2 linked regions of the Rattus norvegicus genome follow. The protein of the gene in region 2 purifies or fractionates together with the protein of the main gene of each other region. This does not show direct contact. Links are inferred from orthologs where the notes say so. Each region holds a gene or a part of one and is shown on either strand. Other genes may lie near its edges. The genes, in order: Tert and Pinx1.

Region 1 (3,809 bases), on a different chromosome or scaffold from region 2:
TCCAACCTGCCCAGAGCAAACTGCAGGAGACAGAGAGATGCAGGAGGAAACTCCATGCTTCTCTACTACGCCACTCACATTCCCATCTCACAAATTTCCTGTTCCAGACAAAGGACCCTGGGGGCATAGTGGGCCTATAGTCCCCTCTCTATCCCATTGCCCCAGACTAAGGACTGTAGGACAAGGAAAGCCTACATTATCCTTGAAGAACCTTGGGGCCTACAGGGCCCCTGGCTAACCCAGATACTGAAGCGTCCAGGCCCTGGTGGTAAGTCAGGCTTGGCTACTTCTCTGAATAGGACCCAGCCTCCAGAGGGATCTCCCACAGAGCAGAACCCAGAGCAGTTGGAATGTACTGTCCAGGGAACCCATATAGAGCTCAAGACTGTTCTGAGAGCTAGTTATCCGCCCCCCAAAAAGTGGGGTCCCCGATCCTGAGAGAACTGGAGGCCCTAACACTTTTAGCCTGTAAGCACTCACAGGCCAGCACTCCCAATCACCTGCTTGAGGTACAACAGGTCACCCAGTGTTGGCTATTCCAAGGAGGTCCCTAGAACCCAGACCATGAGAGCAAATGTGGTAGACAGGAGTCCAAATGATGACCTTAACAAAGTACATCCTGGGTGTCTGGTCCAGAGCACGCACACGCAGCACGAAGGTCCGCCAGATCCTGTAGCTGTCACTCGTACCCAGTACTGAAGCACCCATAAGGTTAGGATGTTTGGTCCGCTCGTAGTTGAGCACGCTGAACAAAGTCTTGAGACTCTGAGTGAAACACTGGGTCTGAGCCAGGGCCACAGAAAACACATCAGAAAGGGACCCGGCAGACCATTCCCTGACCACCCTGATTTCTGAGCCCAGAACCTCAGCTCAGAGCCAGAGTCTTAGAAGACCTACCTCACTAAGTCAACTGACTGTATTTGGGACCCTTATCCAACCTGCCTCAACCTGTTCTCACTCACCCCCCACGGGCCTTCTAGAAACACGCCCACTGGTTAGAGTCAGGGTCAGGGTCGCCTTACAAGGGCTTCCAGCTGAGCTGAGGCACCAGTAGCTTCATGTTGTCCTCTGAGGCCTTACTAATGACCACACAGGCACTGGTGGGGTTCAGAGCTGCTTCTGACATCCAGATATGGGGATGGGTGGCAGCTGCCCCTGGTTACTTTGCCTCCCAGCATAGAGGCCATATAGTGCCTACCCTACCTGGCAAGATCCCTGAGAGCTTGTGTCCCAAGCTCTCTGTCTCTTGGTACCATCTCCTATCTCTTAAGACCTTTCCACATGCTAAGGTTTTAGACTCAGGAACAAGTTACTTAGCCTCCCTCAGAACTTCATGAGCCCTTACATAGGTCAGAGCATAGACTCGACCAGCCGTACGGGGGGGCCAAGTTCAGTCACCTGCTTCTTTTTGCCAAAAGCTCTGGTGTCCATGCCATAACTCATGTTCACAATGGGCCGGAGACCATTGAGCTTGGGGATGAAGCGCAATCTGCAGATAGGCATGGCCAGCCAAGTGTCCTGGTGATGCTTGACCTCCTCTTGTGACAGTTCCCGTAGCTGAACTCTCTCAAGCTGTTGCCTGTTGCAGAGAGTACCGTGGAGTTATGACATGCATAGTTCACGAGACACGTCCCATCGGGGCGCTTGGGAACTTGGAGCGCTTGACACCCAACCATGCTATGGGGCTACATCTAGGACCATAGCAACCCACACCAACCAGACACCCCATAGAACTGTCTGGGAGGGGCATGTGACACCTAGCCTGAGTTGGTACCTGGGACATCTGGTCCCATAGTCTCCACTTGGTGTTCCCTTCTTTTGGGGGGTGGGGGTGGGGTTGTCCCACTGGCCAGGACACTTTTGAAGCAATCTGCTGACTCTTATGGATATTCTGGCTTAGACACAGGTATGAAAACAAAACGTGTCCATGCCTGCCCCCAGGAAGCCCTGTGCTGGTTGTTAAGAATCCCCACAAGCATAATGTATGGCTGATGTGAGATACATAGTTAAGGCTGGACCTCAAGAAGGCTAACACGGAGCTGTGTGGTAGTGGGAGCACACCCTTAATCCCAGCACTTGGAAGGCAGAGGCAGGTGGATCTTTAGGGGTTTGAAGCCAACCCAGGCTATGGAACTAGTTTCAGGACAACAAGAACAAAACAACAAACAAAGTTAACATGGTAATCCACTCTCTGTGGGCCTTGCCTGGCCGCTCCTCTGCCCTCTCAGCTTGGCCTTTGTAAACTTCTGCTGAGACAGCAAACTCTAGCTCAATCAGCACAGAACCTCAGCCACTCAGAGCCCTGCCACTTCTCAGGGTGGACCCCTGTGGTCTCCCACCGAGGAGACACTTCCTTCAGGGGTAGACACAAGGTGGAGTCCATTGATAAAAAGCTCTCCTACTTTAGGGATCCAACTTATGCTTTCACAGGCAAGAAAGCAGGGTGTCCAGTCCATGGCTCCAGGGAGGCCACGCCTGCAAGGTCCATGCCCAGGCTGGCAGGTGCCACAGTGTGGGTGTCGGTGCCTCTGGATATGTAAATAGGAGACGCTTATACCTGAGAGGCTGTGTGGTACCTGATTCCAATGCTCTGCAGCTTGCTCCACACACTCTTACGGTAGAAGAAAAGGCGGTTCTTCTGGAACGTGGTCTCTGTGATGTAGAAGAATGACCTCAGCAGCTGTACCACATATGTGTCCATTAGCCAGAACAGGAACATGGCAAGGATCCTCTCCCTCAGACGGTGCTCTGCGGCAGGGACAGTGTCCTTCTCTGAAAGTAGCAGATATTCAACATCTGTGACTCAACCTCAGACCCATAATGTCCGGCATAGGAGCCACGGTTCCCAAATGAGCCCATGGGGTGCTGGACTGGACATGCTGGGCTCTAATAATATGTATTAATAAACTCATTTAATGTGTGTGTGTGCATGTGTGTGCATGCGTGCATGCATGCTTGGTTTCTTTATGTTGTAAACTAAAGTTCCTGACAAGGCCGTGTCGGTAGTGGGTGAATCCTGCAGGCCTACTGACTACAGATGAAATACCCCTGACTGACAGAGAAATGCTCTCGAGGTATTCTTCAGCCCCCAACAGCCATTCACTATCAATCTCTGAATCCGATCTAGGACCATTGTAACTATCGACTGATTCTTTTGAGCTAGATTGACTTAGCAAACCTTAGCTTCTACCAGCTCTAGATCAGATTATGTCTTCAAATAGGGGATGGGGCATGGCTCAGTTGGCAAAGTGTTTGCTGGAGGGGCGCGAAAACCCAGTTTAATCGTCAGAACCCATGTTTTAAAAGCCAGGGGTGCTGACATGTGCCTGCAAGTACCACTACGGAGGCAAAGGCAAACGGACTCCAGCAGGATCAGCTCCAGGCGATTAGAGAAGACACTCGGCGTCAACCTCAGACCTCGTACACATATACAGGCAAACCTCAGTGGGAGCTACTGCTAAACTACCAAGTCACCAACTACACATACCCATTGCCACTGAGCAGTGAACACAGTTCAGAGAGGTCCAGAATGAAGTAGAAAACAGGTTAACTCTTACTGCCATGCTGGATGTGTGAGCTCCACTCTGTGTGTCTCCAGATACCGCAGGGGCCTCCTTATCCAGGGAAAGGAGGGTTTACCAGCAGTGATGAATATGAAGGAAACTTGTGAAGGAGAAGGGGAATCCCAGAAGGAGGTACAAGCTAGAAGACAGAATGAACAAACAAGGAAGGAAACAGGGCTGGAGAGCTGGCTCAGCAGTTAAGAGCACTGGCTGCTGTTGCAGAGGTCCCTGGGGTAGCTCACAACT
Region 2 (4,512 bases):
GAGGGGACAGGAGATGAGCAGGAAGAACTGGGATGTGTGATGTGAAACTCACTAAGAATCAATAAAAAGTTAAAAGAAAGAAAGAAAGGAAGGAAGAAAGGGAGAGAGAGAGAGAGAGAGAGAGAGAGAGAGAGAGAGAGAGAGAGAAAGAAAACCTGAGTCTGGGAGAATAAAATCTGCCTGATGTCCCCAAGTAAAGACCAAACCTTTTATACAAACCAAAGTCTCACAAATGTCAACATTTACTATTTAAGGCACTGTTAAGATGGAGACTCACGTAGCACCCAAGTTAACCTGAAATTTGCTATGTAGTGGGCTGGAGAGATGGTTTAGCAGTTAAGAGTACTGTGTGTTATTCCAGAGGACCAGGGTTCAATTCCCAGTACCCATATGGCAGCTCAAAACTGTAACTATAGTTCCAGAGGATTTGACACCCTCATACAGGCAAAACATCAATGCACATAAAATAAAATTTTTTTCAACTAAAAAAAAATTGCTACATAGCTAAAGATGACCTTCAACTTCTGATCCTACTGCCTCTACCTCCCAAGTACTGACATTAATGGTGTGTACTGCCATGCCCAGATCAACTTATATTCTTTTTTTTAAAAAGATTTATTCATTTATTATATGTAAGTACACTGTAGCTGTCTTCAGACACACCAGAAGAGGGCATCGGATCTCTTTACAGATGGTTGTGAGCCACCATGTGGTTGCTGGGAATTGAACTCAGGACCTCTGGAAGAGCAGTCGGGTGCTCTTAACCGCTGAGCCATCTCTCCAGCCCAACTTATATTCTTAATTCACAATACATAAGTCACTATGACCTAGGGAGAGTCAACTGGACATCATGAGGGTACCTCCCTTCTTATTCAACACCATAATGGATTCACTCAGCCTCGGGAACCATCTGTGGTACTTCACACCCCACTGCACTGTGGTGTTTATACCCCTCCTCATGAGTCCTGTCCCTCCACACCCCTTACATGTCATACTCAGTCCTTCATCCTTACACTTCATTCAGGAGGAAGATAAAAAGCACTCTGTCCATAGTGGCACCTGATAACAGTGCATGGAGACATGAAGGAGTGAGGAAGGAGAGAAGTAAAGGAAGACAGGAGGAAGGAGTGAATAGCTGAAATAAGGGAACTGCCCTGGTGTCGCAGGAAGCTTTCTCTGAAATGAACCTACATAAGTGATCCCTAAGAGCTCAACTTTATCGCTGGCATTCATCTAAGCACACTAACATCAATGGCCTCAAAACTGAAAAATAACACAACCTCCAGTCAAAAGAGCTCACTGTGTTAATGTAAAATCAATAGGGATCTTTATGCATGCATACCCCAGCAAAACCACAAAACCCTTTACAAGCATGCAGGCAGGAAAACAAAAACAAAGCAAACTGAATTGGACTCAAGTTTGCAGTGCTATGCCTGGGGGAAAAAGCCAATCCACCCAGCTCAACAACCTGGTATATACTCAGCACAACACTGTCTTGCTCATGCACACAGCAAAGAGAGCCATATTAACCAGTGTTCTACAAGTGTGTGTCAGACCCATGTCTGGAGAATGCCTGCCAAGGGTTGGTGAGCAAGGTTTGTAAGGAGCCCACCTTTCCCCTAAGAAATGCATCTCTGCCACATACTTACACAAGATGCACTGCCATGCTGGGTAAGGAACTGGCTGCCAGGTCACTTGTTCAGCCCTGTCTACCATTGACATTCCAAACTGTGTTCATGCAATCACCTCACTAAGATTTTTAAGCCTGGCTGAGGCGGAGACTAGTTCATTTTCATGGAAGTAGAGACCAGGTGAACTGCCAGGAAGAGGGATCTACCTAGAAAGGGCAGTTTTCAGTCTATAACCTATTGAGCTGCCTGCAGGATGTGCAGTGTGCTCCACTAAAACATACTTTGTTCTAAAATGACACAATTATCTTTTAAAAAGGAAATAATTTGTTTATGTTCTTTGATAGCTACACAACTTCCAGGAAAAGTTAAAAGCCAGCTTTTGGTGATCATCACACGACTGCCAACTGGTGGCAAGAATCCATAGCTACATGTCGTCTCTTTTAGAAGTAAAGTAGCTTCTGGGGAGGGAATTAGTGCACTTCAGAGTGCACTTCGTTTTCGTTCTCTCTCTCACTCTCTCTCTCTCTCTCTCTGTCTCTGTCTCTGTCTCCCTCCCTCCCTCCCTCCCTCCCTCCCTCCCTCCCTCCCTCCCTCCCTCCCTCCCTCTCTCTCTCTCTCTCTCTCTCTCTCTCTCTCTCTCTCTCTCTCTCTCTCTCTCTCTCTCGCTTAGAACCATTCATCAGCCTGCACTCCCGCCAGAGATTTATCACTGCCTGACACCTGTAATCCTTCTGTTTTTCTTCTCTGGGTCTAATACATTTTGGACAGTTGGGATTCGTGGCCTGAAGTGATGCTATGGGACCTGTCTTTGTGGAACCCCAGGATGCTGTTTTGAGCCCGAGAAGTGAAAGATTCCTCCAGCTGGCCACGATGCCCAGCGCAAGGGACAACAGTCTGAGACCCGGTGTCCTGAATGTCGGAACGCCACGCGTGCGCGCACGGCCCAAGCTTTTAGTTCCAAGAAGCGAGTCTGCGGGACATAGATGATCTGTCCCTCGCGGGCCCGGCAGTCACTGCTGTCCCCAGTCGGGCCCGGATACCCGCACTCCCATCACCCCTTCACCCGGTCGTCCAGCTTGGCGGACACTCACGCTCCGCTAGCATCGACATTGTCGCAAGTCTGTCGAGCGCTGCCTCTGGTCTGGCGCCCAGCGGTTATGAGGAGCCTGAAGTGCAGTTAGGGAAGAAGCCGGCTCACAGAGCACGCCGGGTCCAAGAGTTTCACTGGGGCGCATACTACTGACGTCACCAAGCGCGACTCGCCACGGACTACGTAAAGCCGAGGGGCCGACCCACCTTGCGGGACTGGTACACAAATTCATTCTAGGGCTGGGGCAGAGCTCTCGTTGGACTCAAGCAGTTCGCAGTTTAACGCAGAAAGCGGATATGCAAGCAACCTTAAAGTTGTTCGGGGTTCTGTGAACCATAGGTACCTTCAAAGAGCTGGCGAGATGGCCAAAGAAGAAGGTATTGGCACTGTGGAGCGGGGGCCCACTTTCCTCACACTCTACCTCTTCTCATTGGGGATGCTGAGAGAGGAGGGAGGGAGGGAGGGAGAGAAGGCAGAAACAGCCACGTAGCTGTCAAAGTCAAACGAAACACCAGATTTTTGTTCTTAACGGTCGAGAAATGTTAACTCTTCCGTGGTGTTCGCTGTGACAGACTTAAATCCCAAAGGCCTTTCCCAATTCCATCGCTCAACATGCTATACCTGGCATTTGCTGAATGCATCCTGACACATTCTGTTGCCCTCTTTTTGCTGACCTTTCTCCTCCATTTGTGTGACCTCAGCAATTTCCCAAGCTGTTTACTTGCCTCCCCCCAACCCCCGGCCCCAGCCTCTTCCTTCAACGTCCCTTTCTTTGTCAAGGCTTTGGCTTCCAATCTAGACCTTAGCTTTCCTCAAATCTTTGTTGTAGCTGTGCCTTCAGCACTGGCCAGTGCCCTGACCTTCCAGAGGCTCTTCTTCCTCGTTTTGTCTTTTTATGGAAGGTAACATCCACTTTTCACCAGACCCAACAAGATTCCATGTAGACCCCCATGGCAGTCAGTGCAACCCTTCTAGGATGCGGTGTGCTGGTAAAATATGGCTGTGTTGGAGGAAGAGCTCGGGGTTGGGAGTGGACAGACCTGAGAATCAGGCATGACTGTCACTTACCTACCTGTAAGATGAGAGCACCCAGCCAAGAATGATTGTGTGCTTGACCACGAATTATTAACAAGAAAGAAGAGGCAGTAATGTGACTGTGTGGTGATGAGGCTGAGTCTGACCAAATCACCCGCTTAGGACATCTGAGCTTTGCCCCAAATCCTTTCCAGATTTCCGTTTCCCTGGGCCACGTTTCCTAATCTGGATCACTAAGGCCAGGTACAGCAGCCAGAAGGGCACACAGGAGCATTTTCTCACATTCAGTGAGGATACCAGCTTTGACCTCACTCCTCTAAAAGTTCTTTACAGGACAAGGAGGAGTGACCAATGAGAGCATTCCCAGCGAGTGTTCTTGGATCACAGCATCAGCTACCTTTGAAAGTCTTTGTCATTTGTCTGAAGACGTCTTTGGGGAGCATTGTAAACTTCTACTGTCCATTAACTGCAGTTTGAGAAGAGTTGGAGGAGCAAGTATGGAGAGGACAGAAAAGAAAGTATGGAAGCCATGCAGCCCTGGAGTCTGAAGCAAGTTTATTAGGGCATGTAGGGAACTCCTTTCTATTCTGGCTTTGGCTAGAGCAGAAACTATTCTTGGTAATTAAAAAAAAGTAAGCTAATAATTTAATTAATCATTGTAGAGGTAAGAAGTAACAGGAATAGTTCCTGAGACAGTCTGTGAGAAAGTTTAGCATGCATTATGTAAAAATATTCTGTTGCTGTGAGAGTGAAACT

Evidence for each region.
Region 1: the proteins of Pinx1 (region 2) and Tert purify together in Homo sapiens (co-immunoprecipitation; 3 studies listed by BioGRID and IntAct, with this or other methods). This does not show direct contact. The link is inferred for Rattus norvegicus from reciprocal best matches to the Homo sapiens genes PINX1 and TERT.

The regions. Positions count from the first base shown.
Region 1 is NC_086019.1:31,477,825-31,481,633, forward strand, and holds part of Tert (telomerase reverse transcriptase), read right to left. Parts: intron 3,703-3,809; coding exon of another isoform or gene 3,558-3,702; intron 2,773-3,557; coding exon 2,577-2,772; intron 1,580-2,576; coding exon 1,399-1,579; intron 784-1,398; coding exon 604-783; intron 1-603. UniProt on the Homo sapiens protein: Telomerase is a ribonucleoprotein enzyme essential for the replication of chromosome termini in most eukaryotes. Active in progenitor and cancer cells. Inactive, or very low activity, in normal somatic cells.
Region 2 is NC_086033.1:42,272,165-42,276,676, reverse strand, and holds the start of Pinx1 (PIN2/TERF1-interacting telomerase inhibitor 1), read right to left. Parts: upstream 2,873-4,512; 5' UTR 2,742-2,872; coding exon 2,723-2,741; intron 1-2,722. UniProt on the Homo sapiens protein: Microtubule-binding protein essential for faithful chromosome segregation. Mediates TRF1 and TERT accumulation in nucleolus and enhances TRF1 binding to telomeres. Inhibits telomerase activity. May inhibit cell proliferation and act as tumor suppressor.